2 linked regions of the Caenorhabditis elegans genome follow. The protein of the gene in region 1 purifies or fractionates together with the protein of each later gene. This does not show direct contact. Each region holds a gene or a part of one and is shown in the gene's direction. Other genes may lie near its edges.

Evidence for each region.
Region 2: the proteins of C27H5.6 (region 1) and cfim-1 fractionate together in Caenorhabditis elegans (co-fractionation; one large-scale study listed by BioGRID). This does not show direct contact.

The regions. Positions count from the first base shown.
Region 1 is NC_003280.10:7,179,557-7,196,928, reverse strand, and holds C27H5.6 (G_PROTEIN_RECEP_F1_2 domain-containing protein), read left to right. Parts: upstream 1-9,718; coding exon 9,719-9,895; intron 9,896-9,937; coding exon 9,938-10,207; intron 10,208-10,461; coding exon 10,462-10,647; intron 10,648-10,724; coding exon 10,725-10,863; intron 10,864-11,306; coding exon 11,307-11,437; intron 11,438-11,496; coding exon 11,497-11,562; 3' UTR 11,563-11,651; downstream 11,652-17,372. Other genes in the region: maoc-1 (MaoC-like domain-containing protein), read right to left, coding at 1-267, 314-455, 504-591; acdh-12 (Very long-chain specific acyl-CoA dehydrogenase, mitochondrial), read left to right, coding at 2,166-2,330, 2,377-2,480, 2,528-2,843, 2,891-3,004, 3,053-3,768, 3,814-3,950, 3,995-4,143, 4,200-4,340; E04F6.4 (PLD phosphodiesterase domain-containing protein), read right to left, coding at 4,510-4,720, 4,765-4,973, 5,341-5,506, 5,553-5,692, 5,737-5,895, 6,082-6,221, 6,272-6,474, 6,520-6,624 and 2 more; pdl-1 (Phosphodiesterase delta-like protein), read right to left, coding at 11,770-11,851, 12,322-12,427, 12,528-12,653, 12,939-13,104.
Region 2 is NC_003279.8:8,605,363-8,621,762, forward strand, and holds cfim-1 (Cleavage and polyadenylation specificity factor subunit 5), read left to right. Parts: upstream 1-10,025; 5' UTR 10,026-10,030; coding exon 10,031-10,240; intron 10,241-10,287; coding exon 10,288-10,385; intron 10,386-10,434; coding exon 10,435-10,664; intron 10,665-10,761; coding exon 10,762-10,907; 3' UTR 10,908-11,042; downstream 11,043-16,400. Other genes in the region: F43G9.13 (Vesicle transport protein), read left to right, coding at 1-8, 178-280, 805-889, 936-1,015, 1,078-1,170; idha-1 (putative isocitrate dehydrogenase [NAD] subunit alpha, mitochondrial), read right to left, coding at 1,568-1,714, 1,762-1,855, 2,137-2,309, 2,373-2,455, 2,500-2,623, 2,670-2,876, 2,924-3,028, 3,075-3,149 and 1 more; lmd-1 (LysM domain-containing protein), read left to right, coding at 4,569-4,748, 4,798-4,945, 4,995-5,087, 5,138-5,248, 5,317-5,414; F43G9.4 (PWWP domain-containing protein), read right to left, coding at 5,532-5,617, 5,822-5,907, 5,959-6,160, 6,264-6,387, 6,434-6,531, 6,582-6,861, 6,911-7,009, 7,084-7,148 and 1 more; slc-25A42 (Mitochondrial coenzyme A transporter SLC25A42), read right to left, coding at 7,725-7,849, 8,368-8,524, 8,572-8,651, 8,703-8,908, 8,972-9,158, 9,218-9,326, 9,380-9,400; F43G9.21 (uncharacterized protein), read right to left, coding at 11,043-11,163, 11,439-11,452; F43G9.8 (uncharacterized protein), read left to right, coding at 12,038-12,150, 12,262-12,501, 12,780-12,873, 13,191-13,277, 13,327-13,527.

The DNA.
Region 1 (17,372 bases):
GCATCTGGAGCTCTATCTGGGACAGTGGCAGCTTTTATTTCATGAGGTGATGTACGATCCCCTCCGAAGTTACCAGAACCGGTTTGAAAAGTACTGAATTGTTGCATTGCAATCTTCTTTCCATTTTCATCATAAGTGGTAACATTTCCAAGAATCAAAGCACCGGATCCTTTGTCAAGAATATCAACGACTCTAGCTTCAGATTTCAATTTTCCTTCTGCTGAAAGTGGTTGATAGACTTCAATATATTGTTCTCCGTGAAGAACTCTAAAATGATTAAACATGTGTTTTCAAGAAATCTTATAAGAAAAACCTCTGAAGATCAAATTCAACTCCTGGCCAATCCATCAAAGTGTGAGCTTGAAATCCTGGAGCAACAATGTACGATGGAAGCACTTTAAAGTCTTCATGGTTCTCATAAACGTAGCACAAATCTTCTTTCGCTCGAGCACCAACTAAATGAAATTATTAATCACTATTCAAAAGGTCTTAGAAAAAATTACCTCCAAGAGCATAAATAATAGCATCTCTGGTAGAATATGAGAACTCGCATGGCTCTGCCACATGTGCGCAAGCAGTTTTCTTATCCATTTTTAAGTATTTGTCGGAGAAGAAACAAAAACCAAATAATGAAATAGAAAATGCCAATACCTAACAAGGAATCGGTACAGTGTAGTCTTGACCCCATGTGTTGATAAGACTACGCTGCAGACTACATAACGAGGGTGAAATCAATAGTTTTTTTTTAAAAATAAGCACTAAAAGAATTATTACCACATACTGATAATTATTAGATGTTTTAAATAATTTGCAAAAAAAGTATACAAGGCTTTAAATTTCAATTAAAAAATATATAAAAACTAGACTTTTGTCGGGAGAGATGTACAACGTGTTCATAGTATACTATAGTATTTGGGTTTCAACTTATAGAAAATGATCGAATAAATTTCCTTCGTTTTGAATTTTGAAGCGAAGCACGCACAAAAATTAATAGACCAGTTTCAGATTTCTCTTAATTCAGAAACATTCATCAAATACCTATGACGCCTTGTCGTCTGTTCAATAAAATTAACATGGAAGGTCGATTTATTTTTTCCGATATTTAAACAACCAAGGATTGTTTGTCGACTGTTAAATAGCTAAATTACAGTATCCATTCTACGAACCATTTCTCTTTCTTTAATTAAAAAAATAAAGCTTATTTTTTCGCGTAAAAGCCTTCCGAAAAATTCACACGTTTTCAAACTTGTGCATTCGCTAAATTAGTTTATATTTTCACTCGTTCACTTTCGTACATTGAAAGAATTCCAAATTCCATACGGTTCGTTTCTATAATGTACAGATTTATTCAGATGTAAAAAACATTAAAACATGAGCCGTCAAATATAGTGCCGACGGTGTGAACACACCACCGTAACACCGTGACGACAGATTGCGGATTCATTTTTCTTTCAGAGTACGATGCAGAAAACTTCTGTAATTGTCGTTTTTTTTCTATTTTAATTTATTTTGTGGCCGTTAAAGATAAAATATAAGACAACAAGTGTTCATACGAATTTTTCAGTACCATGAGGTGACCCGTAGAGCTATAAAATCATGTTTTTCTTGAAAATTTCATCGAACCTGCGCTAAAGTGTATTTTATCACATTGTCTTTTCACTAGTGCGTAGCCAGGGCCGTTCAAAGTACATAGGGCAAAGTCTACAAGAGATAACAATGACCGTCCTCCACGTTTCCTCTCCATCGTTTGTGTATGTTGGCGATTAATCAGTTTATTATGGAAAATTTACGAAAAATACTGAGCAAACCATGTTTCCAGTTATTTTTAGTTAACTTTTAAACTTCTTATTTTATGAAACACTCTTTTATGTAATCCAAAAAAAGCAAAAAACCTATTCGTTCTTTTTTGCGTTCATATAAAATGCTAAATACTTTTCTATAAAACTTATTCTGAATTCTATTTATTTTGATTGCTCTTGGACGTTCAGTGTAAAAAAGTATTGTTATGTCTGTGTTCTATGTTCTCTCACATGCTGCGTCTCTGCTCTATCCACCGTTCGACCCCCAAGTTGTTTTCTTCACTCTTTATCTCCGTCATCGCTATTTACCCCCTACTGATTCACTGATTGAAACCTATATTATTGGTTTTTTCTTCCAGAGAAACGATGCTGTCAACGCTGAGTAAATCTGCACGGCTCAACCAAACACGATTCATTCGTCTTTCGCATTCTGCTGCTGCTGCAAAAGATGCAAAACCGAAGAAGGTCGCTGCAGTGGACAGTCCATCATTTGTCATGAATCTTTTCAGAGGGAAAGCTGTGACTGACCAGGTATTTGAGAATTTTAGCAGGACCTGTTCAAACTGCCAATTTCCAGGTGTTTCCGTATCCTCTGAATATGACTGACGAACAGAAAGAAACTCTTGGAATGGTGATGTCTCCACTGGAAAAGATGCTTGTCGAAGTTAATGACGTCGTAAAGTGAATAATAAATCTTAAATTTACATGATCAATTTATTTATTTTCAGAAATGACGAGACTTCTGACATTCCAAGAGCAGTTTTGGACCAATTCGCTGAGCTAGGAACATTTGGTGTACTCGTTCCACCAGAGCTTGAAGGTTCCGGATTCAACAATTCTCAGATGGCCAGAGTCGCTGAAATTGTTGGAGCTTACGATCTTGGATTTGGTGTTGTCATGGGTGCTCATCAGTCGATTGGCTACAAAGGAATCCTTCTCGAGGGTACGGATGCTCAGAAACAAAAATATCTTCCCGATTTGGCAACTGGACGCAAATTTGCTGCTTTCGCTCTTACCGAGCCAACTACCGGATCTGATGCTAGTGTAAGCTAGAATATTATTAATTTCTCATAAACTTTAAATTTATTCAGTCAGTTAGAACGAGAGCTGAATTGTCTGCTGATGGTAAGCACTACGTTTTGAATGGTGGAAAAATCTGGATTTCGAACGGAGGATTCGCCGATGTTTTCACTGTGTTTGCTCAGGTAATTTATTTTCATTTTTTGGAAAAACTTTCACAATTGATTATTCAGACTCCTGTCAAGCAGGCCGATGGCTCAACAAAGGACAAGATGTCTGCATTCATTGTCGAAAGAGCGTTTGGTGGAGTCACCAGTGGACCACAAGAGAAGAAAATGGGAATCAAGGGATCGAACACAACTGAAGTTCACTTTGATAATTTAAAAATCCCGGTTGAAAATCTTCTTGGAAAAGAAGGAGAAGGCTTCAAGGTGGCGATGAACATTCTTAATAACGGAAGATTCGGAATTCCAGCTGCCTGTACTGGAGCTATGAAACATTGTATCCAGAAGACTGTCGATCACATCACCACTCGTGTTCAGTTTGGAAAGAAACTTCAAGAATTTGGAAATATCCAAGAAAAGCTGGTAGAAATGATCTCGAAACTGTATGCAACAGAGTCAATTGTCTATATGCTTTCATCAAACATGGATCGTGGAATTAAGGAGTATCAACTTGAAGCAGCTATCGGCAAGGTTCTAGCTTCAGAAAATGCTTGGCTTGTATGCGACGATGCTATTCAAGTTCACGGAGGAATGGGATTCATGCGCGAGACTGGTCTTGAAAGAGTTCTCCGAGATCTTCGTATCTTCAGAATCTTTGAAGGAGCCAATGATGTTCTCCGCCTCTTCATTGCTCTTACTGGAGCACAACATGCTGGAAAGCATCTTGCCGAGCAAGCTTCTGGAGTCGGGGGCCTTATTGGGTTGGCTGTTTCAAGAGTTACCGGGTTTGTGAAATCACATTTTTAGAATTATTAAACTGTATTTTTCAGAGGAAACACTGGCTCCAACTTTGGGCAAGTCGTCGACGCAAGTCTTCAAGATTCAGCTAAAGTATTGGATCAGCAAATTGCTTTGTTTGGACAAACAGTTCAAGGATTACTCATGAAGCATAAAAAGGGAATAATTGGTAATAAAATACCTTTGAACTGCTTTTAATTTTAATTTTTGTAGATCGTCAATATGAGATGCACCGTGTTGCCGACGCTGCCATCAACATTTACAGCTCTGCCGCTGTTCTTTCTCGTGCCACCTATGCCATCAAGAACAAATCTTCAAGTGCTGATTTTGAACGCAAAGTTGCTACTTACTACGTTGATAAGGTAATTTTTGATAACTGCCAAATTTTAAGTTTTAATTTCGATATTTACTCTTTCAGGCGATGAAATCATCAAACAGATTCCTGAAGGATGCCGGAAGTGGTGTTGAGAATGCTTCGAAGGTAGCAACAATTGAATCATTGGCGAAGGAAGTCTGTGGAAATGGAGGACTCACTCTTCAACATCCAGTTGAATTGTAAATTGTAAACTAGACTTGTTTTTTTTTATCGTAAGAAGCTCTTTTAGCCAGTCTGTATGTATCTAGAATTGAATTGCCTTCTTTTTTGAATTTTCGGGTGCGAATATTTTATTTCTTGTGCTATAAAAAACGGAAAATAAATTTTATCAATTGAAATTTTATACACGAAATTAAATGAAAATAAGCGGATCGAGAATCTGATCTTCTCCATGGTTCTTCTCGTAAACTAGTCCGTCAGCAGAGTATTTCTCATTAAATACTCCTATTTGATCAAACCCAAACCATCCGGAGAATGGGTTCGATGGTTTTGAAATTTTTGGAAGATAACCTTTTGATTCACCGTATTTTTGAAGTTTTTGTGAGTACGTGCTATGCCAGTATCTGAAGACAATGAAACATTTTAAATATTTTTTATATTTAATTACCGTTCAAATACAGCTTTTATTTGTCTATTGATATCTCCATAATGTGGTTCTTCGTCTACAATAATTGCAGTTCCAGTTGATTTGTAAAAGTATTCAGGTCCATAATTCGATGAACCAATGAAGGTTCTTGATTCGGAAATCATGAATTTTGCATGCATCTTACGATCTTTATAAGCTTCTTGAGCGGTTTGTGGAATTAAAATGAACTTCTGAAATATTTATATTTAATAAATGTTCAAATTGCGAAGGAGATTTCGAATATTACTTAAACGCGAAATTTCGCCCCACGAATACGGTACCCGGTCTCGACACGACAATTTTTGGTTGATTGCAAACGGATGTGCGCCTTTAAAGAGTACTGTAATTTCAAACTTCCGTAAATGGTATAAATTTAATCGTGTTTTCCATAGATTTTCTCAATGAATATTTTTGAATTCCGCATCAACGAAATTTGAAACGTACAGTACTCTTTAAAGCCGCACGCCTTTTTGTTCTTGATAAAATTGTGTTGTGTCGAGACCGGGTACCGTATATTTAGCACAAATATTCGCGTCTGGATGATATGAATAAACGTACCACTTGAATATTTCTATTTTCCGTTGGAGAATGTAAAACAGAAAGACTATGCAAACAGGAAAACATAAGTTTTTCTTCTTCTTTTTGATCTCCAGATACAAGTATTCGGAATTTAATTCCACGAGAAACACTCATTCGGATGGCATTATCGATTTGAGAGAAGAACCTGAACACTATAAAATGACCATTTTTTTATCTTTAAATTTCCTTACTCTCTATTCTTAAAATAGATCCATGAAGGGAAATATTGCATTACAGAAATATCAACAAAATCATTTGCTTCATAAATCAGATTTAAAAGTGCTTCGAGATCCCAGCTATGAGAAGAAGTAAGGAAAAAAGATGGAGATGCCTAAATTTGTGATTTATTATAAAATTCTGGAAAAGGAAACTTACCAGAAATTGGAAAGTGGAATTTCCAATTCGATGTGATTGGAAATCTACAGTTTCGAGTTTCTCATTACCAGAGAGTGATCCAAACATTTGATCGAATAATCTGGAAGCATCTTTGGCAATGCATGGACAGTCGTGGAATTCCAGTCCGATTTCAATTTTCTGTAAGAAAGAATGAGGTTTTGTAGAGCCGAATATAATATTTACTAAACCATTCAATTCTCCATGCTCTGATTACTATACAACATTTTTTGTAAAATCGGACATATGAAAATTTGTGTGTATTAACGTAATTTGTTCAAATTAATAGGTTAAAAACTGTACATGATAATTGTTTCAAGAACTTACTTGTGAAAACGATTTCCATTCGAAATTCATACTTCCAACAAATAAATGCTTGTCATCTACAATAAACGTTTTACTATGTTGAACACCTCCTGATCCACCATTCAATGTATTCATATCCAATCCTTGTCTTTGAATTAATCCTGAAATATTGGTTTTATAATTCATTTAATTTTCTACAACTAACTCTAACCTAATCTCTCTAATTCATCAGCGTCATAATCATATTCTGGCATAACTGGTGGTTGACAATCAATTAGTTTAATCAAAACTCCTGATTTCGCCTGATTTTCAAGTATATTATAGAGTTGACGTCCTTCAAATGTGGAATTGTCTACATCATATTTCAATTCTCTTCCCCGTAAATTCATTTTGAATGCAAAAATGTCAATCTCCCTGAAAATCTTCAAAATTTAATTTTAAAATGAATTTCAGACAAACCTCTCAGCAGTTCCAAGAAGTTCAGCCCATGATTCAAATGCATTCTTTGTGTGAACTCGGTCTGCAAACCATATTCCACGTGGAATCGATTCGACAACAGAAACACTGAAATTTTATTGTTTTGAACATATTCTCGAATAACTGAATACTAATTTTTAAAATAAGTTAAACCGGTTTATTTACGTATGTACATGAAATCATTGGCTGACCAAATTGTCAAAATAACCAGAAATAATATGAATCGTATCTTCGATCCACTCGACGAACCTGCAAGTTTTGCCACATTCGACGCCAATTGGAGGAATTAAAGTTGGAAATTGTATTTCTGAGGTTTCACTTGAAGCTTCAGAGACGTCAGTTGTAATTTCAGATGTTAGAGTTGAAGTAGAGACAGCTGAAATGCATTTTAATTCAACAATTTTTAATTTCTGTTTTAAGGCTTTCAATTTAACCATACAGTTGTACCGTTCTCATGAAAAGTCAGTCATTTATCAAACGTTTCCTTTAAAAGTATTAGATAATTTACCACTTTCTGATGGTCCAACTGATGTCGATGTGAACTGTACAGTCGTCTCCTCTACCGTAGTACTTGGGATTACTGTAGTTGTGACTGTCACTTGTACTAATGTACTGTTCTCTCCATCTTTATGATCTTCTGCTGAACTGCTCGAGGATGAATCACTTTCAGATGTTGACATGCTTCCAGCTGTACTTGTTATCACATTTTCTTCTGTAGTGAATTCATATGGACTTGTTATAGGGTTTGACGTGACTGCATTTGTTGTTAAATAGGATACTGTAGTTTTTGTGTTGTCAGAATTATCAGGAGTATCAGGAAGTCTGTGGAGAATATTAATAACAACAACAATTATCACAAGAGCCACAACAATTGCAGAAACCAGGTAAATTGGAAGTTTTGTGCGAGTTTTTGGAGGTTTTGAGACTACCGTCGGCAGTTCGGATGACACCGACATGTTTGTGGAGAATGATGAAGAGAAATTGGAAAATGGACATATACTCTCGTTTGAATTTGCATGATCCGATTTGATGAATCAGTTAGTGATTGGAAACTATTGATTTGAAGAAGTGGGTGGGGGAGTTAAGGGAAAAATGTCGATTTGTTGAGGTCAATTAGAGTTCGGAGAGTATATGTACCATACTAAAACAAGCGACGGCTTGTATAATTTTGGATTTGAAAATTTCAATGAGAAATAATTTTGTAAGATATGCATACTCTAAAATCAATAAAATTTTTTGAAAACGTCAGCTAATTCAATTTGAGTTGAGCATTTGAACCCGGCTCAATGAGTTATTTTATTTTCACATGTTGGTAAATAAACCCAAATTAAATAAATTTTTGCAAGAATCAATTGAACAATAATCACCTCCAGTGATTCGTATTTTTAAACCTGCTCCATGCTTTGTTACTATGATCTTAAGATATTCTCATTTTTCTCAGAGTGTTTTGAAAAAGTATGTCACTAGACTTTGAGAAGGCTTTTTCGTGATTTCAATATTTATTCCAATGCTCAAAAAGCTCAAAAACCAAGTTCTTTATTTTTTTACAAAATTAGAATTTTTGGTTGCTCAGAAAAAGTTTGGTTCCTTCCAACCACGTGTTTGTCTCTTGATGCTCATCTTAATTAAGAAACATGAAGGTTCTTTGGTCCACTCCGTTCCTTATTGCAGCTGTAAATGAACGTTCTCTGAGTTATAGAAAAGTTGCAAGTTCTTTAAATTCTCATATGATCGGCACGTAGCACATGATGTTCGGATCTATTTATGAAATCTTCTGGTAGCCACAAAGAACGTAACAAAAAAAAACCACGTTTTTCCCACAGATTCATTATGAAATATTCAGCAGGTGCACGAGATGGGCGGGCACATATGGTTCATAGTCAAGAATACTTTTAGTCGGATTAAAAATCAAAAAATCAGATGTATTCTATTCTCATGTATCTCACTTTTTCTTGCGAAAAATACTATTGTGCCGCTGTATTTGTCCAAAAAACCTTGAAAAATTGCAAAAAAGTTTTTTAAAAAGTTTCCATTTCTTACAAACTATCAAATGTTCAACTAGGGATACCGTAAAAGATTGGTCTGCGATCAAACCGCGCGATATGTAAACTTAAATTTAAACAGTGCTAATATCATTCCAGCCAGAACGAAGAAAAGAGGCAAGTAGGTCGACAATCCCAAAATAAGCAAATTTTTCTGAATGTTCTCTATCTCTGTACTATGACAGTTTTCGATCCACTTTTAGAGTTCCAGGTTCTCCAGGTGCTCCAAAAAATTTGACAGTTTTTCCCAAACTAGGTGGAAAACTTCGAATTGTTTTTTCGGGTTTAGAAATCGAGATATTTTGAATTGGTCGACCCACCTTCCAACAAGCCTCATTATACTAACACCTTTTCAGTGGGAGTTTCCGTTAAAAAAAAACTCCAATTTGGGCTTACACGATTAATCTAGTTTTGTCTGGATTGTGACTGATATGTGGTGCTCTATTTCTTTTAAAACATTCAGCCCCCACTTGTAACATTTCTGAAAAAGATCCTTTGAAGGATCTTTTAATTAGAAGTTAAAAACAAAACTACCAGGGATGTTCATACTGTGTATGAGGTCTGTACCTCCAGCTTCGACTCTTTCATTTTTGTCAGCATTCTAAATAACAGAGGAAACAAAGCACATTAAAAATACTGTTTATTCCATTTTTATGAAACTTAGTCACACTATTTTCCAGGAATCTGGGATACTACGTCTGTGAGAATCTTTAACCGTTGAGTTCAAAAATATGTAGTCCAATCACCTCAGGCTCCACCCAACACGTGTTGACAGAAGGATGCTGTTGTTCAAGATAAACATATTCGCTTGAATTCTCTCATTCTGCAAGGTGGCATGGAAGTTTGTGTCACGAAGCAAAGAATAGACTTGGGTTTCCCTTTCTAATAAATTAACTGATGTAAAATTCTAGTATCAAAAGCCATATAAGTGTACACCTAGCCGATCACCAATGTTCTAAAATTCTAAAATAGATCCAAGAATTTTCTATCCTTCAAACCACAAATGCTTTAGCCATTATTCTAAAGATTTAATTAAAACGTGCTGAGCACATGGTGCCTGACCCGTGCCTAAACCGCCCAGCAACTCATCCTTTGTTTCATCGTCACAATCTTCGTCATCCAGTACTCCAAAAGTAGTCATGATTTTTCAGAGGATGTTCCCAGGTGATGGAGAAATACTTCTTCGCAGTCGACTTTATATTATATGTGGAATACTTGTACTTATTCCGAACACTATTTGTCTGGTTGTCTTTAATTCCAGTAAGGATTTTAGACAGAGATTCGTGTTTTTCACTTTATTGTCACTTTCGGATATGGTAAGTAAACTTGGTTTTATTTGCATATACAACATTTTTCAGATAAATGGAATTTCATTCATAATGTCGGGCGCAGGAAGATTGGATCTATTGTTAAGAGATCAATATCATATTGACACAAGTAGTTCACAATGCATGACTGCATACTTGTGGCCAGTATTCTTATTATTCGGTGGTCAACTACCTGCAACATTTCACTGTTTGTTAACTGTAGAACGAGTGCTTGCCGTGAACAGAGTGAGCTGGTATCGGAGCCGTTGGACATGGAGAAACAGACTTTATCTGTCATCATTTGGAATTGTTCTCTGTGGAGTGAGTTTTTGTAACAAGATGTTCAATGAAATTGTGGGGTGGTACTGTAGATCTAATAAAATGGTTAACTTTAAAAAATAAAGGCCATGTTGTGTTCAACTTGCTGAATTTATCAAAAGGCTCCAATTTAGGAAAGACAACTTTTTCAGGAACGGACAGTCACAATTTTCTGATGAAATAAAAGTTAATATATCTGTAGAGACACCATAATATTCACTGTATAACTCCTTGCTGACCAAACCAAACTATTCCAGCTCCTCACATTCATTGCATTTGTTGTGTCCTTTGCTTCTCCTTCAATAAACGATGATCGAATGTGTGCAGTAATGAATTCAACTGGAATTGTATATGGAACTATTCATTATTGCTGGATTGCATGCTCGTACATGATAGCTTTTGCAGTTACACTCAACTTATTTCTACGATCCCACGGCTCCAAAGTTCGTTGTTTTCGCTAGAATTTAGTCACAAAAAGTCTAACGATTAAACCGCGTTTATAAAAACATTGTCATTTCAGTTCTTGAATCACACAGAGAAACGGAAACAAATGGCTATTCTAATTTTATCCGGTATTAATGTATTGATGGTCAGTGTGCCTAATTTTGTGCTGGTTGCTGATCAGTGGCACTCCGATGAGTTCGACGTACTTCTTGTTGGTTAGTGAACCTTTTTATGCAAAATGCTTCACTGATTGTGTAGTCGTAAAAACTTGTGTCGAGCATGTTTTAAAGTTTGAACTTCAATGGGAATATAGTTGAAGTCATGGTTTGAATATTTGCCATTAATTGAGCCAATTGATGAAAAGAAAGTTCATTTTTTGATATTTTAGATATTCTAAGATATTTTCAAAAGTCTGACAAGACTTGGTCAAGACTGTTCTAGTTCAACCAATTTAACTAGTTCAACTCTTGTCAAAGCCTTGACCAAAATGAACTGTCAAACACTAAAATTGAAGTCTGAAATAACATTTCAATATCACTTTGAATAATGAGATAATAACATATAAACTAGAAAGAAAAGCTAGTTAATTCTTAATTAACTTAAGAATTAATTAAGAATTAACTTTAAATTATTTTTTTCAAATAGTTAATGTTTCCAGGTGTTGCCTATCTTCTCTATGGTTTCCAATCTTGTTTCAACCTTCCCATCTTTTACTTTTTCCGTCTCGAATTCCGTCGCCGGTGCCACGAACTTCTCCGTTTCCGTCGTAACGGGACAAACACAATTGTGGTAAGATTGATGCATGTCCTTTCATTTTTCAATTATTTTCAGTTCTTCCTATTTTTCAGTCGAACGACATGAGTCGCCAGAAGCTATCACGTGTCAATGCTTCATTTGTGAACACTGCAATCTAAATGTATTTTTGGGACAATTTTCCTGAGCTATTCAATTTGTAAAATATATTCATATGTACATAGATGAATAAATAAATCCGTTGAAGATTTTCATTCTGAAATTGAATATTAAAATTAGGTATGTATTGTTTTAGGAATTAAAAAAGAGAGATCCATGGAGAAACAGGGAAGGATTAGAAGGGAAAAATGGATATGAATGTATATGTATTAGTCGTAATAAAGACGGACTCGAGACGTGCTTACAAGAAGATCTCCATCATAGAATAAAGTCTCGACGACGACGTTTCCGCTGAAAAATTGAGATTGTATTTTCAATCGTTCGAAATGTCAAGGCCTCGAACACAATTTAATGTTATTTTTATAGTAGGATTAAGTAGTTATATATAAGATGGTGTGCAGCATCTCCTGTGGTACGAAAATTACATACCATAAAGAATACTAAAACGTTTCAAAACTCAAAAAAAAAACTATCGGTAATTACTCAGTTTTCACCAGTACAAATATTGAAAGTCTGTTTTAATTTTTATAAAAAACACTGTATTGGTAAAATCCTACAGCAATGTTTGAAATTACTCAAAAACCCAATTTTTGAATTTTTGCCAATTTACCAAAACGCTGACTGATATAAAAAATGTTTGATTACGATACTCGGTCATGTTTACCTAATAACTATTAAGGTTTGCATGTTTCTGTTTCTAGTATCTTGAAGTGAAGCTTTGAAGCTTAGAAATCTAGTACTTTTGCACTTGTTTTACTTACCTGAGTACAGATGGTGGGAACATTTGTGATTCTGGAGCTGCCTCAATCATATTTTGCCACGTGTTTGTTGAATCAGGAATGACAAATCCAAAATCGAAATACCACTCTGAAGTCGGAATACATAATTAGTTTTCATCACCAGAAGCCAATATTATTCATCCATTGCGTGCAATAACATAATGAATATTCGAGTGATTCTATCTTACCTTCAATGATGGTTCCCTTCAAATAAACGCGTTGCTCGAGTCGAAATTTTTCGATTTTGACTGATGAAGTGAAGTTGATCTCACGAGACACCGTACGACATTTTAGAAGATTCTTTGGCACGTGTGCTGCAATCCATTAGTTTTTATTTGTTGGCTTCAAGCAATTCTATTTTTGTAGGAAAAACGCATTGCATTAGAGACCAGCGGTAAAAGACATGTGAAGGCTTAACTACACGCTCAGTGTTGCTTGCTAGCTGTGGCAGAATGGCGCAGTGGATGTGCGCGCGCATTGGGGGGAGACGCTCTCGCGTTCGTTCCCTCGTGTTGTCAGTGACGATATTACTTACCGCCCCAGGCATAGTGTTTGTGATGATTGGTTTATTCCGAGACTTTTTTTGAAATTCTTATTACCTTTGTGTTCCCTTTTTGGGTCAGCCATGTCTTCTGTGCTCTGCCAGAGAACTTTTCCAGTTTCTGCATCACGCAAGTTCATCCAGTTGAGCTTGAAGCCAGCCAGAATGCTCTCTGCCTTTTCGCTCAATTTAGAATCTTGATGACGAGTAGCGGTAGTGGCCATGACTGGAGCTCTACTCTCTGAAGAAAGTGATGTTTTGAGGAAATGACGACAGACCGAGGCACAAGAAAGAGGAACCGGTCATCTTAGGAACAAGGAAAAGTCAATATTGACGAAAAGTGACGATTGCCGGAAAAAGAGCATAAAAAATGAGTGTTCCCGAAGAGTGGTCATTATGAAAAAAAGAACACGTGGAGATCATTGAATTCATAAAGGAAGTCGTGTTATAAGTGGCACTTACATTTTATGAAAAAGGGAAGAGAATAAGAGAAGTAACTCGTATTCATACAATTATATATTACTGCTTATATATTTCTTTTCGTAATTCGACGGTTCTGTGGTTTGAGCAGGATGGGATTAGGTGATAATTTAGAGAAATATCATATTATTTCAATAATTCCCTAGATAAAGCTATGACTAGTAAGTCGGGCACTTATAACGCAGAAATTGCAATAGAAAATTTTCTTCAGAAAATCTACATAAATAGTCGATTGTAGTGTTTAAACAGAAAATGTATTTTTAAAAAAATATTATTTGAACTTATTTGTAATTCTGAAAATTTTGTATCGTTTAGATAACCTACAAATTGAAAGTAGGAATTGAAACAAACAGAACAAAAAAATATGTGCAAATTTTTGCATGTAATTAAAATTTCCAAACAATTTTGGTGTGTATGAAAGAAAGCAAATAAATAAATTTAAAAAGTCGACCAAAACATATTCAATTTCAAGAGGCAAGACGAGGTGAGATGATGTGATAGAAAAGGCGTGAAAAAGTTTTTACGAAATTTTAGAGGAAGCGCAGTCTCTGGCACAATGTTTTCACGGCCTTCTCGTTGCTCCCAGCTCAACCCCGACTGCGGTGGACGGAGAAAGCTCCAAATTAACCGAAAAGAGCGCGTCGTTGGGATGAGAGAAATAGAGAAATATGCGAAAGAAGTGAAGATGGCAGAAAGGAGAAAAAGAGACACAGGGAAAGGCTCTATTGAGTTGAAGAAGAAGAAGAAGAAGAAGAAGAAGGAAAATTGTGAAAAAAAAAGGAAAAAGAAGACGAAAATGACGGAAATGGAGAGAAAAAGGAAGAAGGATTTTAAGACGATCGGAGGGAAATGAGAAAAGTCTGAATGTTAAAACGGTGAGCTAGATGAGGGAACGAATGTAGGCGGAGTCATGGAGTCACTTGAATTGTTAAGTATATTCACGAGGTGGCTGATGAACAGGGTTTAAGACTTTGAGAACATTTTTGTTTGGAAAATGTGGGCATTTTATTGCAAAATCACAACAGCAGGAAAAAAGAAAATTATTTTTGATGTAAGGTGTGCCTTTTATAACCCTTGAAGTTATATACTGTTATTTACATGAACTTCCAAGTGATTCACACACACAACAAATGCAGTTACAAGTGCAGTGCATATTCAGTTTACATCGAACATTTTCTAACATTTTCTAGGTTAAAAAAAAAGAATTTGAAGTTCGAGTTCGAGCAAATCGAAAGGTTCTATGTTTCTTCTATACATATTTAAGTCTAATTTTTTAACTCCTGAAGTTTCTGCCTCGGGTTTTTGAGTTTTACCGAAAATAAGACTGTGCAATACATCGTCTGTGAAGATGGGAAAAGCTTTCAATCAAAACTACAGAAAACATTTACAAAATACAAGCTCCAAGTGACAAAACAAGCATTCAAACATTGAAAGTTGTTTGCTTAACAAAATACTTTTCAATGTTATCTTTAGATTTTTCTACCTCTCTCTTCAAAAATAGTATACTTTCAAAATACAAAGGGCAACAATTGCATCGAAATCAAATTTTTGTAGCAAGTTAAAAATTCTATAAAAATACTGTTAATTATTCTCTGAGATCTTGATTCGTGTTTAAAACTTTGGTCATACACAGTCAATCTTATTGGAATTCAATATACAATCTTTTAGTTATTTCTTGTTGGGAAATAATTACAAAATGAAATCTGCACGGGATTCAACATACGATCTTCAAGAGTGGAAGTCCTACAAAACATAGAATATTTTAAATTTCCAATACAAATTGAGTGCTGATCGCACCCATATTAAACTGCCGACAGATGGATAATCCCGCTCTCTCCAGTCGTAACATTTATAAAAACTATTTAGTGAAAACAGTGAAAATTCATCGATGGAAAACGCAAAGCGGCTGACCAAGGGTGTCGTGTGGGAAAAAGTGAGCGAATTTCCGATTCTCAGTCACCAGGGGCAACGCGAAGATGCGATTAGAATGTGCAAGTAGCTTTTGGGCCAAATGCTCACGGAAACCAATCATGAGATGGATTATATTTGAATTTGAATAGCTGATTTGAATAAAGAACATATGTAAAACCAATAATTTGAGATGTGAAAAATCTGAAATTGGAAATTGAATTTAGTTGGATGGAAGGAAAATTTATCAGAAATAAATTTCAAAATAAATTTAAGGTTAATAAGAATTGTTGGAATCATATAATTTTATTTGTAAAAAACCCCGATAAAAGCAAATAGAGAAATATGAAGTCAAAAGTTCTATAGGATCTATGATTTTTTACATTACGGAGTCCCACTCAATTCATTAAAATTGCACGACATTCAGGGAAAATGAAACATGGAGCATAATTTTTTAATTACTTTCTGGGATGTTTTGAGAATGTGTGTGAAATACGGAAACTTTGCTCAGATATGGAATAATTTAGCATAATTGAATTACTACTAACTTATAATAAGATGGTCTTTGTCCTATCTCGTTTTAATTCTAAAAGCTTTGAAAATTATTACGGTGTTACTGTAAATTAGATCATAATTTCTGCAAAAGGAGGGGAAAAAGAAAACCAGAGGTTTAAAAAATTTGGCAAAATAGAAAATTTAATTCGTTAAACTAAAAGGCTGTAACCGAGATCTTAAATGGATTTTACAATTTTTAAAAGGTAGAAGGTTTATATCTTTAGTGTAATTTTTGGTAGAATCTTTCAGAAATCGCTTTCAAACAACTTCAAATAGTCTTTTTATTCCACAATCGTTGTAAAACTTTCCTGATACTATATTTTTTATGAACTGTCAAGAGCGCAACATTAAAATGTAGTAATTTGGTATAATGTTTAAAAAATACAAAATTAACCATGTACAATGGGAATAAAACTATTCACATAAGAGAAATTCCGAAAAGTTTTCAAATTTAAAACAGCCATGGAATTACAAATATCTAGAGTATTTACACAATTAAACCAAAATTATCCATAAAATGATGCATTTCTGTTTTATGATGATATGAATATTTTTTCCCAGATTGCTTGAACGAAATAAATGACGTCTAGTATCACTTTAATTGATGTTTATGCCCATAATTTCCATCTATGTTAAGCTTCTGAGTTAAGCTTCTGAAATTGGAGAATCATCTCCATCTTTTTCTTTTCTTTTTCTTCTTCCACTTTTCTCTATTTCCGGTTGCCCCGCCTTCTCTGTCTTCGTGACTAATTACAGACTGAGATGCGCTTCAAAAACACGATTACTCCAAGCTCTCCTTCCACTTTGGCACCGAGCCCTTCTTTCTTGCTCACCGCCAATTTGGCTCTCATCTACTACTCATTTTGTCCCTCTTTTGTTCTTTCTTTTTTCGTTTTTTTCCCTCTTCCTTTCATCAGTGCGAAATACCTTGTTTTCGTTGAATGGAATCCTTTTCTTCCCTTTTTTTGTGTTGTAAACTACTACAATCGAATAGAATTGAAAGAAGAGCAAAGGGTCAAAATAGGAATTTGAAAAGAAAGGATTTTTCTCACTTCTCACAAACTGAATTTAACGGCTATCCTTGCGTTTTGTGTGTTGATGGAAACCCGGGAGGAGGAGTTCCCGATATTTTCAGATTTTATTTCAGGAACAGAGGATTTTATTTTTCTAATAATTTTACGCCGAGATTTGTTTCGATGAAAACAGAAAATACGGCACACGGTCTTGCAAAGTTTCGCGTCTGGGTCACAACGGCAGTTGCACCTGTAGACAAAATAGAGAAAAAGAATGTAGAGAAAAAAAAAGAAAAAATGCAGAGAAAGTAAACAATTTAGAAAACTGTCAAAATCTTCTCTAATTATTTTAGTCTCTAACATTCAGGACCTCTAAATTTTGCAATCCTCCACAAAAATACAGACCAAGATGTTTTGGAATTTTTTCTGAGTAACCGATAATGCCAAAAATTATTTGAGAAATACTTTACATCTACATTTATTTAGTCTTAAAATACTAATCCACTTTTAAAGCTGGAGTATTGTCAGAAGACACA
Region 2 (16,400 bases), on another chromosome or scaffold:
AGTGAAAGGTGAGAAATTTTCTAAATTCTAAACTGAATACCGCATACCGTTAACAATGCAATGAAATTAATGTATAATGTGATTGTACATGCCCTTTTATTCTATCCATGAGCTCATTTTTGATTTTAAAATTCAAAAAATCTCCACAAGAAATACTTTAATGTTTTCTATTTCTAGCACTTATTCGTTGGCCGGTGCACTACTTCTTTCTGGAAAATATATGAATGATTGGTGGGAAATCACATTAAGCATATTTCTTTGGATGTCACTTTCTTTTATGGTAAGTTTTGGAAACATGAAATATTATTAAAATTTCTAATGTTCCAAAAATTCGAAGATTTGGCATTTTTGCATTTCCAGAAAAAAAATCTGTGTATTATATTTTTTTGGCAATATTATTAACACTTCTTTCAAAGTGGCTAGGATTACTCCAAACTCCGAGTCCCTACTTCTAAACACCTTTTAATTCACCAAAATGCCCTAACAAAAACTGACTTTATTACACAGACGAAAAATTGTTGGCAACAATACTGTACCCGGTCTCGATACGACACATTTTTAATAAATGCAAAAAGGTGTGTTCTGTAATTTAAAACTCCTGCCTACGGGTTTTTTAATTTAATTAATTTATTCCTTTGTAAAAAACAAAAATAAATAACGATAAAAACAGATGAACGCACACCATGCACTCAACAAGTATATTAGTCGTGTCGAAACTGGGGTCTGTATTCTTTGGCATAATTTGCTACGGGTAATATGACATATTTTATTCAGAAACTATTTTTTATGTTTCAATTGTTCCAGGTAATTAGTCTCGGAGCCACAATTCTTTCCCTTTTCACTCTTCGAAAACATCCATACGTTTGCTTTATTCCAATTCCATTTATCAGTAAGATTCTGAAAATCTTTTTTTTTTCATAATTTCAACTTTTCAGTAATGATGTTCATCATTCCTTTCGTTTTTGGTGCTCCTACGTCAATGGTTCTCGCACTGGCAATGTACGCTTCGAAAAATGTACGTTAAAAAAAATTTACTTTTCAAGAAGTTAAAAAGTTGAGGGAAAAAACATTTTTCAGGCTGTGAGCACTTGGTATTGTGCAATAATGGGTATCATTCAAACTCTTCTGATTTTCGTGACTTCTGTAACCCGAATCCACGCGACGCTGTAACTTATTGTGATTATGTAGAAACGATTGCTTTAATAAATTTTTTTAGTTTCTTTGTCTATAAAATCTCGAAAAGAAAAAACCATATAAAAATTTCCAGAAATGAACAGAAATAATGGGAATCGAAAGATGGTGTAGAAGAAGAAAAAACAAAAGTCTCGGGGTGCTTATAGTTATGCGAGTGAATCAGAGAAGACTTATCGAACGATTTTGTGGTTCATGCCAATGGGATAGGAGTAAAGCGATTAAGGACGCGGGATGGACTGGTGGGTAATCTATACAAAATTGAAAACCGAAAAAAGGTGTCATTAAATCATTACTAATCATCAAAGTGTTTTAGTGTCTAACAGCCTGTTTACAATAAGAAAAAGAAAATAGAAGGGGAAGTAGCATTGAGCATTTATTCGAGGTCTTTAACACGGGCACAAACATCAGCGGTGAATGAAGAGCAAGTTCCAGTACCTCCGAGATCTCCAGTTTTGGCACGTCCATCAGCAATTGCATCAAATACAGCCTTTTCGATACGAGCAGCGTGTTGTGGAAGGTTCTGAAAATGAGCTTGTAAAATTTTTAGACCGACTACGATATAAAAACCATGTAACGGAGCATCATGACGGCAGATAGAAGAAGAGCAGTTGGGTTTGCTTTGTCTTGTCCAGCAATATCTGGGGCGGTTCCGTGAACGGATCTGTAAAGAAATTTGGTAAGTTTTGTTTGAATAAAAAATTGTATTTCGCTATAAAATAAAGTTTTCAGGTTAAAAAAAATTAGATTTAAATTTTATTGAGAAGATTAAAAAAATGCAAGATTTCATCAAATTCAACTTTTTTAGTATTTCCTACTTTTATAATTTCGTATTTTTTGCTTTCGATTTCACTTCTATGTGTTTATCTGAAATTTCAGAAATTAACAAAAATTCTAAACTGAGTTCATTTCATTTGTCAAAGCATTTTTTAACAAAAAACATACTCAAATACGGCGGCTCCTTTTCCAATATTTCCAGATGGGGTGACTCCGAGTCCTCCAACAAGACCAGCGCACAAATCGGAAAGAATGTCTCCATACAAGTTTGGCATGACAAGAACATCGTATTGTGATGGATCCTGGACCATGTTCAAGCAAACTGTGTCGAGGTAGGCTTCCTAAAATTATAGATTATAAATTTTAACAGGAAGTGGTTTTTCTTTAAATTCTATTATTCATACCTTGAACTTGATATCTGGGTAGAGGGCAGCTTGCTCGCGGCAGATGGACAAAAACAAACCGTCGGATTGTCTCATAATGTTGGCTGTAAAAATAATTGTTTTAATTTTCTTTTTCAATTTATATTACCTTTGTGGACAGCAGTCACAACTTTGCGCCCATTTTGACGAGCATACTCGAAGGCGAAGCTGGCGACATTGCGAGAAGCAGTTTCAGTAATAAGCTTGATAGATTGAACAACTCCCGGGACAATCTGAAACAATTATTAGGTGATACATTTATTATTTAATTTAATATACCTCGTGCTCAATTCCAGAGTACTCTCCCTCTGTGTTCTCACGAATTGTGACAACATCGACATTGTCGTACAATGTCTTGTGTCCTTCAAGGGAACGGCATGGACGAACGTTGGCGTAAAGGCTAAACTCTTTTCTCACAGCCAAATTCAAAGATCTGTGTCCTTTTCCAATTGGGGTCTCGAGTGGTCCTTTAAGTCCAACTTTGTTCTGAAAAACGTAACAATCAGAAATAAATGTACAATTTTCAAACTAACCGCGTGCATAAGCTCGATGCAACGACTTGGAATACGGAAGACTCCATCGCGTCCCTTAACTGGAGTCACATCAACTGGGTCCCAAGCAATCGGGGCATCGGCGGCCTAGAAATAACATGATGTAAGACACACGAAATAATTGAAAATTCACCTCAAAAATCTTCTGTACAGAAGCTGAAATTTCCGGCCCAATTCCGTCTCCTGGAATTAAAGTGACACGGCGAACCTGAACAAAACTGGCTTTTTTATAAAGTTTCGAGGTTTCTTACGTCTCCGGAGCTGTATCTGATGGATTGTCCGACGGTAGACGACGCCTTTTTGATGCACTTGCCAAGCATTCTGAACCCTGGAAACAAAAATATTTGAGATGGAAGGAAAAATTGAGCGAGAAAGAAAATGAAAAAGTATTTACGATGCACATTTTTTGAGACTATCTAGACGATCATATTTTGGAAAATCAAAATTTAACATCAGGAATCATTAATAAAATATGTTAAGCCTTAAATTAAAGAGCCAAGGAAAAGGGCGGTAGCAGGGCAGCCGAGGTGTTCGGTAGAGCGCAATTTATCGATCATTGGAAAGGGCGGCCAGCAAAAGCCAGTTGAAAAATAGAAAAGCAAATGGAGGGTGCGAGACGGGTATACAATAGACACATTGCATATTGTTTTTTTCTGTTTCGTTTCTCTTTTTCTTCCGGATCCTTGCGTGCGTTTGTCGCAGCGTCCCGCTGCGTGGAAACAGCTAGCCAGATATAATCTCTTTGCACCTGTAGCTACGGCATCCTGCGACGTGGATTTCAGTTTTTATTGATTATTTAAAATTATACCACGTATGTAAACTAAATAATGGAACACATAATTTTTGGTGAAAAACTGTACTAAATGTACTATCATCTGACTTTCTCTTTCACTTGATATCGTACAATTAATGCGTAATTTGAGAGATAAGACATTAATGCATTATAAAGAAGATTTTCGAAGCTTCTTCCGTTTTAATCAAGTTTTAAAAAATAAATTAGTGAAAAACTATAACATTCTTCTAGGACACTTTTTTAAAGTATTTATTTAATCTTGTTTAAACGTTGACGTTAAAGGTGCACCCATGGGTACGTTTTCCTATTTTCTTTTAATTTTTAATGAGGAATTCATCTGAAAATGTGACATAATTTGTCAAATTTTGGATATATTTTTTCGCAAAAAAACTTGATTATTATTAAGTTCGCTGAAACTCTGAAAATAGATTAAACCGATAGTTTTACATTCTCTGAAACGTTAAAATTTTTATTTAGTGAAATTGTTTCGTTGTTAAGCGTTTTAAAGCTGTTTATGTGTCAAATGTAAGAAAATTTAGTAAAAGGTGTTGTTTTATCAATTTACTTGCTGAAAAAAGGCAAAATCATTACAATAATACAGAAAAATAAAAAAAAACAGGATTGAACAAGTTTAACGTTTCGAAGGCTGATTCTGTTCCGCCCGTAAATCCACACGCGCGTTAGGACACATTTTATGGTTTCGAGATAGGCGCCTTCAAAATTACTGTACTTGTGTCTGCGTCTCTGATTTATACACGATGTTTTTAAGTGTCTCGTGGATTTTGACAACTTCGAAAAATACATTTTATTTTTATTTATTTAATTTTCAGTAAAATGGCAATGAAAGAAGGCAGCTCAGTGGAGCAATTTGCAATGAGAAGTCGTGCAGCAAGGACTTCATCGAGTGAAGGTTTCCAAAACGATATGCCCACATACAAGGATGTAGTTTTTATTGAAAGAAAAGTAAAAAACGGCGATACACTCAATAAATTGGCAATAAAATATCAAGTAAATGTGAGTTCTGTCGGTTTCAATAAAATATTTTATTTGCAATATTTTTCAGGTAGCCGAAATAAAACGAGTGAATAATATGGTATCCGAGCAAGATTTTATGGCACTTTCAAAAGTGAAAATTCCAGTTAGCCGAATGAGAATGGCGTTAGGCGTACAATCGGCTTTAAGCCAAGACGAAGAAGACGAAATTCTTATTGGTTAGTTTTTTTTTGCTGAGATAAAGCTTTAATTTCTAAAGATTTACAGATATTGATGACAGAACTGCACTTCTGCGAGAAGATCGAGGCTCACGAGATCCCAGTGTCGAGGATATTTTCCATAAAACTGATACTAACATAGGTGAATAAAAGTTAATAAAAATTATTAAAAAACAAATAGAAAAATTTCAGCTCAAGTTCGAGAAGCTCTTCCAGAAGAAAGTCACGGTGTCACTGGTTTTCATTTTGTAACCGCTCGAGCCCCAACTTCGTCATCTATTTCTGTTTGGATGGTTGTTTTAGGTAGGTTTTTTCTTTCTTGGTCGTATAAAAATGTCAAATCTTTGATATTTGAGAATTCATTTTTTCAGGAGTTCTCTTGATCTTCTGTGTACTTCCTTTGGTGCTTACCTTCTACGAAGAGCAAGAAGAAGCCGCTCATCAACATAAGACTACACATGCCGCTTGAAAATTAACACCTTTGTTTAAAATAATTTTATTAATTTATTAATGTTTTGCTTTTCTCCCCTTTCATATCAAAATCCCATCCCCATCCCTAGTGATAGTGTGATTCAACTCGCCATTTTCATCTCATTTCTTCGAAAACATTTCCTCTTGTTTGGGTAGCTGTTCCGTCTTTTGAAATCTTGTCCCCATGCTCGTTCTCGAGAACTGAAATTTTATTTAGTACACAGGATGAACGCAAATGCATAATTTTTCTGTATCATTATAAAACAATAAAGTGATAAATACTTATAAGACAATGCAAACACGTGATAGCTCAAATAAGTTGGTTTGGTATGTATTTTGGGATAATATCATGATGAAACATTTTTACAGTGATAATTGAGATATATAACTAGTTAGGTAGTTAACTTTGAATTGCATCGCTTTCATCACATGCCAAGCGGCAAAGCTCTTCCAGGTGATCAGTGACAGGAATGCTCATTGATGAATCCAAGCTGAAAATTTTTTAAATTAATGAGAACTTAAAATTGTTCATTTAATCATACCCTAAGACGCGAGTATTTAGTTGATAGAAAATTTCTTTTGAAGTTTGATAATCCAAATTTCTACACGCTGAATAACAAGTGATCAGTATGTGTGGAATGATGTGAGAAGATGTGATATTGAATGTGGAAATGAAGGAAAGTGACGGATTCTGCATGCGGATAAAATTGAATATTCGCTCGAAGACTATGTCGTAGTCGGATTCTGAAATTATTAAATCTTTAAATATAAAAAATGAAGCAAATATCACAAAATTCGGTTTAAAAAATATGCTTTTAGTAAAAATTAAACTTTTTTTGTAAATTACCTTTCAGAAACTGATTGTTTTTCAATTTGATCGTCATTTTATCCTTCATAGTCTGGTTTTTGGATTGAGCCACTTCATCACTCTTCCAGATTTCATTGATCAGAACTTCAAAACGATCATCAATCTGAAATTTGAATGTTAAAAAATTATAATTTTGAACTATCTCGTACCATTTTCATCATAGATTTCGATTGTTCTTCGGTAATTGGAGGTTGTTGTTGTGATCCGGATGGTGTTGAGCGTTCGGAAGACGAAGGTTTCTTGGAAACTGGAATTTTTATTAGTTAATTCTATTTTATCGGTAAAGGTGTAATTTACCTGGTGACATTAAATCCTCATCATCTTCTTCGTTTTCTTGTTGTTCAGAATCAACTTTCTTTTTCCGTTTTTCGGGTTTTCCAGTTTTGTTCTTCGTCACCTCTCCGTTCATTTTCTTCATTTTTTCTGAACCACCAGCAGCTTCACCAAGCGATTGAATATTCGAACCACGAGTTTTCCCATTACTTGAAAGATATTCACAAGCCGCGCGATGTGCTTTTTTTAAATCAGAATTTGCATTTTCCGGAAGAGGTTCGGTGGTGACTAGTGCGTATGTTAACTGAAATTCGAGAATAGTTGCATCGTGTTTTCGGTAATTTTGATCTTACTTTTGGAGCACAACTGAATCGGCTTCTTTTCGTTTCATCGACACCAGGCGCCAAAGGGAAAAAGCTGTAGCTGACTTTTTTGGGATAAGCATTATTGACCTGTAAAAAGAGTTCGTTGAGGCAGAAAGGGAATATTGTATTTTTATCTTCAGTTTTCTATAAAAAAAACGAACCAGTGCTGGCCACATAGGATCTTTTCTGTATGGAACCCAAATGACATCTCCTTTTGAAATATTTTCTGAAATATCGTGAATTTAGTTATGTATTTCCAAAAACTAAACTAACGTGCGATCACAGCGTTTAAATTGGGCATCGTATATAAATTATTCTGAAATTAATGATAAAAGTCGAAAACCCTTGAGAAATTTTCGAAAAATACAAATTTACGGCTAAATTACCAAGAAAAGACGATGAAAGCTCCTGAAATCAAAATTTCAACACTTACTGTTGAATAATAAAAATAAAAACCGTTTATGAATTGAGCAATAAATTGAAAATCACTAAAAACGGGGAAAGTTGATTTGGCGGGGAAACACTGGCACTTGATAATGAAATAGAGGGGAAAAGAATAACCGAGAAATTTTTAAAAAAATTGAGTATTCACAGAAGAAATATGATTTTGAGTATTAAAAAATTATTTTTGGATTAGAAAAAAATCTTCTAAATATTCACGTTCACTATCCACTAAACAGTCTAAAATTAGCGGTATCTAAAAAAACAAATGCAGTAAAAATTAAAGTCAAATCGAAATAGAAAAAAAACAAATCATGAGAAAATATATTTTTGGCGGTAAGAAAAGAGAGAGTTCCATTGATTATCGTTTTAGATGACCCACAAGTTCCAGAACTTTTTCATAAGTGGTGAACGAGACTCCGACTGCAATTGGTCCTTTCAGCCAATTCATGCTCAATCCTTTGTACAATCCTCGTTTCAAACCCTCTGAAAATTTGATGTTTTTGTATTGTTTGCTGTATAGTTTATTCTAGTAAAGCCCACTCAAATATTGTGAATTGTTCGGAGTTTTATGTGTAGCTATAAAAAATTACTTTAGAAATTCCAAAATCTTGTTTTAGAGGTGGACGGCGGCAATTATTGAAAAATCATAAATATTGCGCCATGTTCACCCCATATATTTTTTTTAGAAAATCGTAGTATAGAAAATCACTTAAATTATCCAAAAAGTTGATATTTGCCCAAAAACAAAGTTAGATAACTCGATAATCAGTAATTGACAACTTTCAGATCATTTTTAAGCACTTTCTCAAATTTTTCAACTGGAATTAATTTGATTTTCGGACACATCAAGTGATTTTCTATACTTTGACATTGAATTTCAATTAAAAAAATGTTGGAACAAGCAGGTTATTTTGTTTAATTGCAACCGCCCATTTCTGATAGAACTATATTGTCATTATAGTAAGGTTTAAAAAAAACTATAATTCAAAAAATAGTCATACCCGTATGATAAATATGAATTAGAGCTCTAAGAGGACTCCATCCACTCGGAATTCGCCCTGTTTGCATCCGCCTTCTCACAATATCGAGTGGATATGACGATGATTGACCGATCAAACCAGCTAACATTCCAAATAACATTCGGTAGTAGGAATTTTCCTGAATTATCATACATAATAACGTATAGAAATAATTTCTCAACTCACAACTTCACCTCTATGATCTCGATACATAATCTTAAGAGTTTCGTATGTGAAGAAGGAAGATCCAGCGTATGGTATTACTCCTGTAATCAACAAAAATCGATAAGAAAGATGTTTTTCATAAGAATTCCTACCTAGTATAGTTGGATAAATCCCTCTGTACAATAGTTGAATACCACCTTCTTTATATGTTTTTACAAAAACATGTTTCAAAGAACTATATTGTAATTTTGAAGAGACTGAAAGACGAGCTTTTGCGGTGTCTAAAGGATAAGTGATCATTGTAGCTGTTGTGGCGGCAAGAGAACCTGTTATATATCGTTTCACGGGTGTTCGACTTCTGGAAATTAACATTTTGAAGTTAAATTTGCCACCTCGGTGTGAAAAAAACTTTAAAACTCACCCATTTTCGTCAACTTTCAGCAATTTTTTATACTGCTCGAAGGCTGCGAATTGCATCGACGCGTATGGCACAACACGAGCCATCGTCGCAGAATTTCCACGATACAATGCAAAGAATCCATTTTCCCGATATGTTAGTTTTATGAATTTAATGGCAGATCGGAATGAGTAACCACGTGTACTTGAAACTGGAACATACAAAAAATTAGGTGTATTTTCGATTGTTTCGAAGTGACATAATTCTTACCTTGAAAATAAATTTTAGTTCGATCCAAAGGTGCGATTGTAGTTTTGGCTAAAGCTCCGGCGATCGCGCCTGCGGATAGTGACAAAACGACACTGGGCCTCTGTTTTCCCTGAAAATATGATTTTATGACAGAGATGTTCCAAAATTTATTTAAAATCTTACCTCATTTGAGTCGTGCGGCATGAAAATTGCAAAAAAATCACGAGTCTTTGCTGGTTTTTCTAGTTGGAATGATACAAAGTCAACGATTTATCTGCAAGATCATCATGTGTTATTGGATATAAATTCACATAATTAACATAACAAAACGATTCAAAAACGAAATTTCAAAGAATGTCTAGAGTATCATACTGGGAGCAAAGAATTTCAAGGTGAAGAGTAATGAAAAAAGTGATGTGTGATTTTTCTCTGGCGTCTCTTTATCTTCCTTACCGATTGTTTACACTTAAAATGTGACTGGCTAGTAGTTGATAGGCGAGCGTTCTTTGACGTCTGCGTCTTAACTAGTTTCTCATTGAGATGTTCGTTTTAGACGGTCAAAAATTATAGAAATGAACAAAATATTGTTGTTTTTTAGATTTTTACGATAAAGGCGTGAAAATTTTATAAATTTGATTCAGACGGACTAGTTTTCACACGTTGCAACCGCGCCCCATGGACAAACTGTTTCTAGGCCATCTGTACATTTTTTTTGTAATTTTGTTTTCAAACAATTTTTTCCAGTTTTCAATTCATTTTTTTTAATTTGCTCTTCGTCAATATTTAATTGTGTACTCTAAATTGGTTCAAAATTTAAATATAATTTCAGTTAAAATGGAAGACATCTGGCCAACAATCGAAAGAACAACAATTTCAGCATCTGTGCCCGAGGCTCCAGCGAACTTTGATGAAAAACCTCCGTTCAATCGAACAATCAACGTGTATCCGTTGACTAATTACACATTTGGTACTAAAGATGCACAAGCAGAAAAAGACAAATCAGTTCCAGAAAGGTTCAAACGAATGAAAGACGAATATGAAGTGGTAGGTGTTCTCTAATTGTCTCCAACCGATATCAATTATTTTTTTAGATGGGAATGCGTAGATCAGTTGAAGCGGTGCTTATTGTTCATGAGCACTCACTTCCACATATCCTACTCCTGCAGATTGGTACCACCTTTTATAAATTGTGAGATTAATTCCTATTAAAATCTGAAAGTTTCATAAAAAAATTGCAGGCCGGGTGGAGAATTGGAACTTGGTGAGGATGAGATATCTGGAGTCACACGTCTTCTAAACGAGACACTCGGAAGAACCGATGGGGAGACAAACGAATGGACAATCGAGGATGAGATAGGCAACTGGTGGCGACCAAACTTTGATCCTCCCCGTTACCCGTACATCCCTGCGCACGTGACAAAACCCAAGGAGCACACCAAGCTGTTGCTTGTTCAGTTGCCCTCAAAATGTAAGAGACTGAAAAATTGATAAGATCAAAATTTAAAGTGTCTTCGAATTTTTTCCCTAATTGAAACCTAAGCAGTTTAATGTTTTGTACATTTCAGCAACATTCTGCGTTCCCAAAAACTTCAAACTCGTCGCAGCTCCACTCTTTGAACTTTATGACAACGCAGCCGCCTATGGACCACTGATTTCCTCTCTTCCAACCACTCTTTCGAGATTTAATTTCATTTTCAATGACTCCAACTAAATATTTTTATTATCTGTTACTTTTTGTGTCTTCCTATTTTGTAAATGACCTTGTTCACTCTAATTTTGCTCCTACCAAATCTTCGATTTTGTTATGTATGATCTCTCAAATCGTTAGTATGAATTTAAAAATAAATTATTTCTTCATTTTCATTCGTTGTAATTTAATTCTTCCAACAACAAATATGATGAAACAAATTATGCAGATCGTGGCTTGTATACAAAACACTGTGAAGACGCTTGTTTCGATGGAAATTCTGAAAGAATATTTCATATTACGTAGAAGTTGAGAAAATACGCCATATCTTACGGTCTTGGGTCTCGCCACGCGGACAACCAGTTATTGTAATTGAATCTTGATATTCAAATTAAATGATAATTTCTGACATTATTTTTAAAAAAGTTGCTAGCGTGGTGAGACCCATGCGCGAGACTCATGCCTCTTTAATTTAAGCAGGAAATAAAATACAATAGAAAAGTAACTAAAGAAAACGTAACTAAAGAAGTAACTAAAGAAAGAAAACTAACTTACCTATCAAACTTCATATTGTTAATTCTTGATACGGACGTTGTTGTTTCAGTGTTTCAGATTGAATATAGCGAATTTTTCGTTCAAAATGGATGAACGGCTCACAAAACTTTCAATTCACATTTAGAAATACATTGAGAAATAACAAACTCAAAGAAATAAATGATTACAATTCAATAATTTTTTTGAAATCAGATTCTTTGACGCGAGTGAATCGAAATTAATGATAAGATTCATTTTCGATTTTCTTCAGTTTTCAATCAAATCGGATTGAGCTAGGTAATAATGAAAACCATTTGGAAACGTGCATTTTCAAAGTTGCGAAACATTAAAGGCGCACGGATTTATTTGAATGGGTCTCACCGCAAAAGAAATGGTACTCTGACTCATTTTTCGTGTCGAGACTCATCGGACAAAATCCGTGCGCCTGCAGGTATCCGTTTTAGACTGTGACTGAGATCGTGTCGAGACCCACTCCGAAAACACCACGCTCCTTTAAACTGATTTCATATTTTCACGAAACAACAATACATCAAAAGTTTTTCAGATTTCTCCACGGAACATTAAATTTCGGCAAAACAAATATATTCTGTAATTGAAGAATGTCCTTAACTACTCAGAATCCTGGCAATCCCACAAACATCTCAAACATCTCATCTCAAATCGGACCAACATCTCAAAAACCTATAGTCGAACTTTGGGACGATGAAGGACAGTATGCCATTTTTGAATCAATTTTTATTTAATTTTTCTGAATTTCACTATATTATAGCGTTTTCAATTTTGCTATTTTGAAAAAAAATCGAAAACATATTAATCTTTTTAGAGACTTCTTTATGAAAACTGGAGCATACATCATGGCATCGTTCATTTTGCAAATACTTTCTGTGATTCTCTTGATGAAAATAATTCGTATATACATGTCGATACACAGGAAGAATATGAGAAAGAAGAAGATGATGAAGTTACAACAAACGAAGCAAGAAGATCCTCCGTCGGCAGTTTTACCATCTCCGTCCCACTTTACAACACAAACTTCTACAAATACTGTTGAAGATGCGAATATGTTAGTTTTTTTTAAAATCTTGTTTGAAATTTCAACTTGTGTTTCTTGGCTTGAATATTAAGTACAGAAAAACAAGCATCCCCACAATATATACTGTCTGAGTGCGTACCTGAAGAGATTTCTCGTAGGTACGAAGGCAGGTATTTAAAAAAAGCTAGAACATATGACAACTGAGATGTCAAAGATAAACTGTGGTGGGCAATACTAATAGAAGAAATACGGATAGTTACGGGACTTTAATAATTGTTTGTATGGGAGAACTCAAATATAACTTTCAGGGTCCTTGAAGGCAATGAAATGCTCATGAAACACCGAGCGCGACTTCTAAAACCAACCCAAAAGAGAACTACAAAGGATGGCAATTCTGAAACAGTACGTTACAAAAGTTTTCACAAGATATTTCTATCTGTTGGATGTTTTCATGTATTCAAGCTTTTTTTAAACTATTACAATAGTTTTACATTTCAATAGTTCAAGTGTGTTTTTGAACCGCCTGCCTGCCTTCAATTTAGAATTGCCAAAGTCTTGGCAATCGTCAAATATAGACTTTGGAACCAAGTTACAATTCTCCGGAAACCGGTGAAAAATTTCCCATTACTGCACAGCACTGGTAGGCATTGGTCATGAAGGCAGGCATGCAGGCATACGTCTTTGTGTTTACGTGGCAACTTTGAACATATCAATTCCAGCCCTCAACACATGACGGAACCAGAAAAATCGTGTTTCAAGAGAAAGGACAAATTCTTCTAAACACCAACAATGTTACTGAATATGCTGTGCGTTTTTTGTTTTAAACTTTTTAAAATTAATAACCACAACTTTCAGGTGATGGACGGAGAAGACAAACCGGGCGAGAAGATAAACATCAAAAAAGTTACATTTGATTTTGGATCGTTTGTTACTTACAATGTAGGGATTGACGTGGATGAATGGGAAGAGCCAATTGAGAAGATTGCGGGCTCCGCAGGTTCGGGTGGATCAGTTATGACGGCTAGTATCAAGCAGAAGTCCATTAAGAGATTTTAAATAAACAATTTTTTTGTCTTTTTGAATAAATAAATTGTGGGAAAGAACTCAGAGGCAAAAACACTAAGTTTAGAAACTTCGACAATTGTTGCACCGCTGTGGTAGGTAGGGTTGAACTGACATGGAAGTAAGCCGACAAGGTGTGATTGATTTTTTGGGTGCACAGTTAATTCGCGATATGCGCATAACGACTGTAAGCAAGATGGGCATATTACAATCGAGGTTCTTGCACAATATGCACATTTCGACTTGTTAAATCCGACTTCCTTTCGTTTGAAGTTTGTTACATATTGATTAACTTTTGACTGGCTCTTTCTGTACTAAGCCTCTTCGTGGCGAAAGGGATCAACAGATAACCACTTCAACAAACTCGATGATTTCGTCACATCGAGAGTGGCTTGGTTTGGAACCAAGTGCAAATTATCTGGCCAAGAAGTACACCGTCTCACGCAGGCCAGAGGTAGTGTCGAATACTTTCTGTCCGGGCGGCTCTAGATTGGCTTAGCAGGTCATTATAGAGTATCTAGAGACACAACTTTTGCTCTAAACAGCAACCCATCCTGCCTCAGTCCTCCGCATCCGGCCTCTGCAAAGGGAAAGACAGTTCCTGGAGCACGTCGGAAGAGGCGATCTAATCTCGGAGTCCAAACCATATGTCAATCGGACTTGGAAATTAAGAAGCCGCGGGACAAAACAAGAAGAACTGACTATCGCGTGTGCACCTTCAACTGCAGGTCCTTGTCTTCGGATGATCGACTTGCTGAGTTGCTAGAAGAGACGAGGCGAATCCAATTCGACGTCATCGGATTGTGTGAAACCAAACGAGCAGCCGAGGCACACTTGATACATCACGACGGTACCGGCGTCTTCTTAGGCAAACGGAATGAAAGTTCTGTATCCGGTGGGGTCGGCTTCATAGTTCGAAGCACCCTCCTTCCCAAAATCGTAGAAGTACGATTTCTTAGTCACCGCATCGGCTTACTCACCTTCAAAGTGAGCCGAAAATTCAACTGCACGGTGATTCAAGTCTATGCTCCAACTGCGGACTCAGACCTTGAGGAAATCTGCGACTTCTACGACCGTGTTGAAGACGTCTTCAGAGAGTGCCGAAGCAAGTATAAACTTGTTATCGGCGACTTCAACGCTCGAATGGGATGCAGACAAAACAACGAAAGGTACATTGGCCCCCATGCCATGGAACCAAGAAATGATACTGGAGAGCTTCTCGCAACATTTTGTGAAACCAACCGTCTGTGGCACACGAACTCTATGTTCAAAAAGCCTATGCACAAACGGTGGACTTTCGTCAGTCCCGACGGGAATCACAGACACGAAATTGACCACATTCTGGCCAATGGAAAGTTTGTCACAGATACCACTGTACTCCCCTCTTTCACAAATGGTAGCGACCATAGGTTACTCCGCTGTAACCTCCACTTCAACAATTGTCTAGCAAAGTTGGAGCAGGTCAGACGGAGAAAACCTCCGAAAAGAGTGTTGGACCCGGCGTTTGCTTATGCAATCTCAGCGACAGTCACGGTTCAGAGTGATCCTGATTTAGATACCGACTATGATAATCTGATTCAGTCACTAAAAGAACTTCAAGACCAAGCTATCGTTCGACCGGCCAACCACTCATCCAACAGACTTTCGGAGGAAACCCGAAAACTGCTGAACAAAAGACGTTTTATGGATAGAAATGATCCCCAATTCAAATCTATTTCAGATAAATGTCGTGAAGCAGTTCAGAAAGACCATGAAGCTTTTGCCAGTACTCGCCTTCTATCTGCTGCGAACCAGAAAAAGAGTTTGAAAAGAGTTGCTAGGGACATCAACGAATATAAGTCAGTTATCCCATGCCTCAAATCAACCTCTACTGGTGAAAGAATCACTTCCAGGGTGAAAATGGAGCAGGAGATTGAGAAGTTCTACACGGAGCTCTTCAAAAGCGCTGTGAGCAACTCTCAAACATCTTCAATACCCGCCACGCCAACTCCACCGCCGTTTCTCCCGGAAGAAATTCGACATGTTCTCCGTTCCTTCCCGAATGGTAAAGCTGCAGGCCAAGACAAAATCAGTGCAGATTTCTTGAAATCTTGCCACGATAACGTCATTGACCTGATAACGGATCGATTCAACAGGTACCTCCACAGCAGAAATGTACCGAAACCCTGGAAAACCTCCAAAACCACTCTCATCTTCAAGAAAGGTGACCGTGAGAATTTGGAAAACTATAGGCCCATCTGCCTACTACCCGTACTCTACAAAGTATTCACCAAGTGTTTGCTGAATAGAATGCGAAGATCCCTTGATGAGGCTCAACCTGTCGAGCAGGCCGGATTCCGACGGTCTTTCTCTACGATCGATCACATCCACTCGCTCCAAAGACTTCTTGAAGTCGGCAGGGAATACCAGATCCCACTGACACTTGTCTTCATAGATTTCAAGAAGGCATTTGACAGTGTTGAACACCAGGCAATCTGGAAAAGTCTCGACGAGCAAGGTGCAGATGGAGCCTATATTGATCTACTGAAAGAGTGTTATAAAAATTGTACCACAAATTTTACCCCATTCCACAGGCCAGTCGCAGTACCTGTGACCAAAGGAGTTCGACAAGGAGATCCCATCTCTCCGAATCTCTTCTCCGCTTGCCTCGAACACGTTTTCCGAAAGCTTTCCTGGATTGAATTGAAAGGAGAAGCTGAGGATTACGATACGATCCCTGGAATGAGAGTGAATGGCAGAAATCTAACGAACCTCAGATTTGCTGACGATATTGTGCTCATCGCCAATCATCCGAATACTGCCAGCAAAATGCTCCAAGAACTCGTACAAAAATGCTCTGAAGTAGGTCTCGAGATCAATACTGGGAA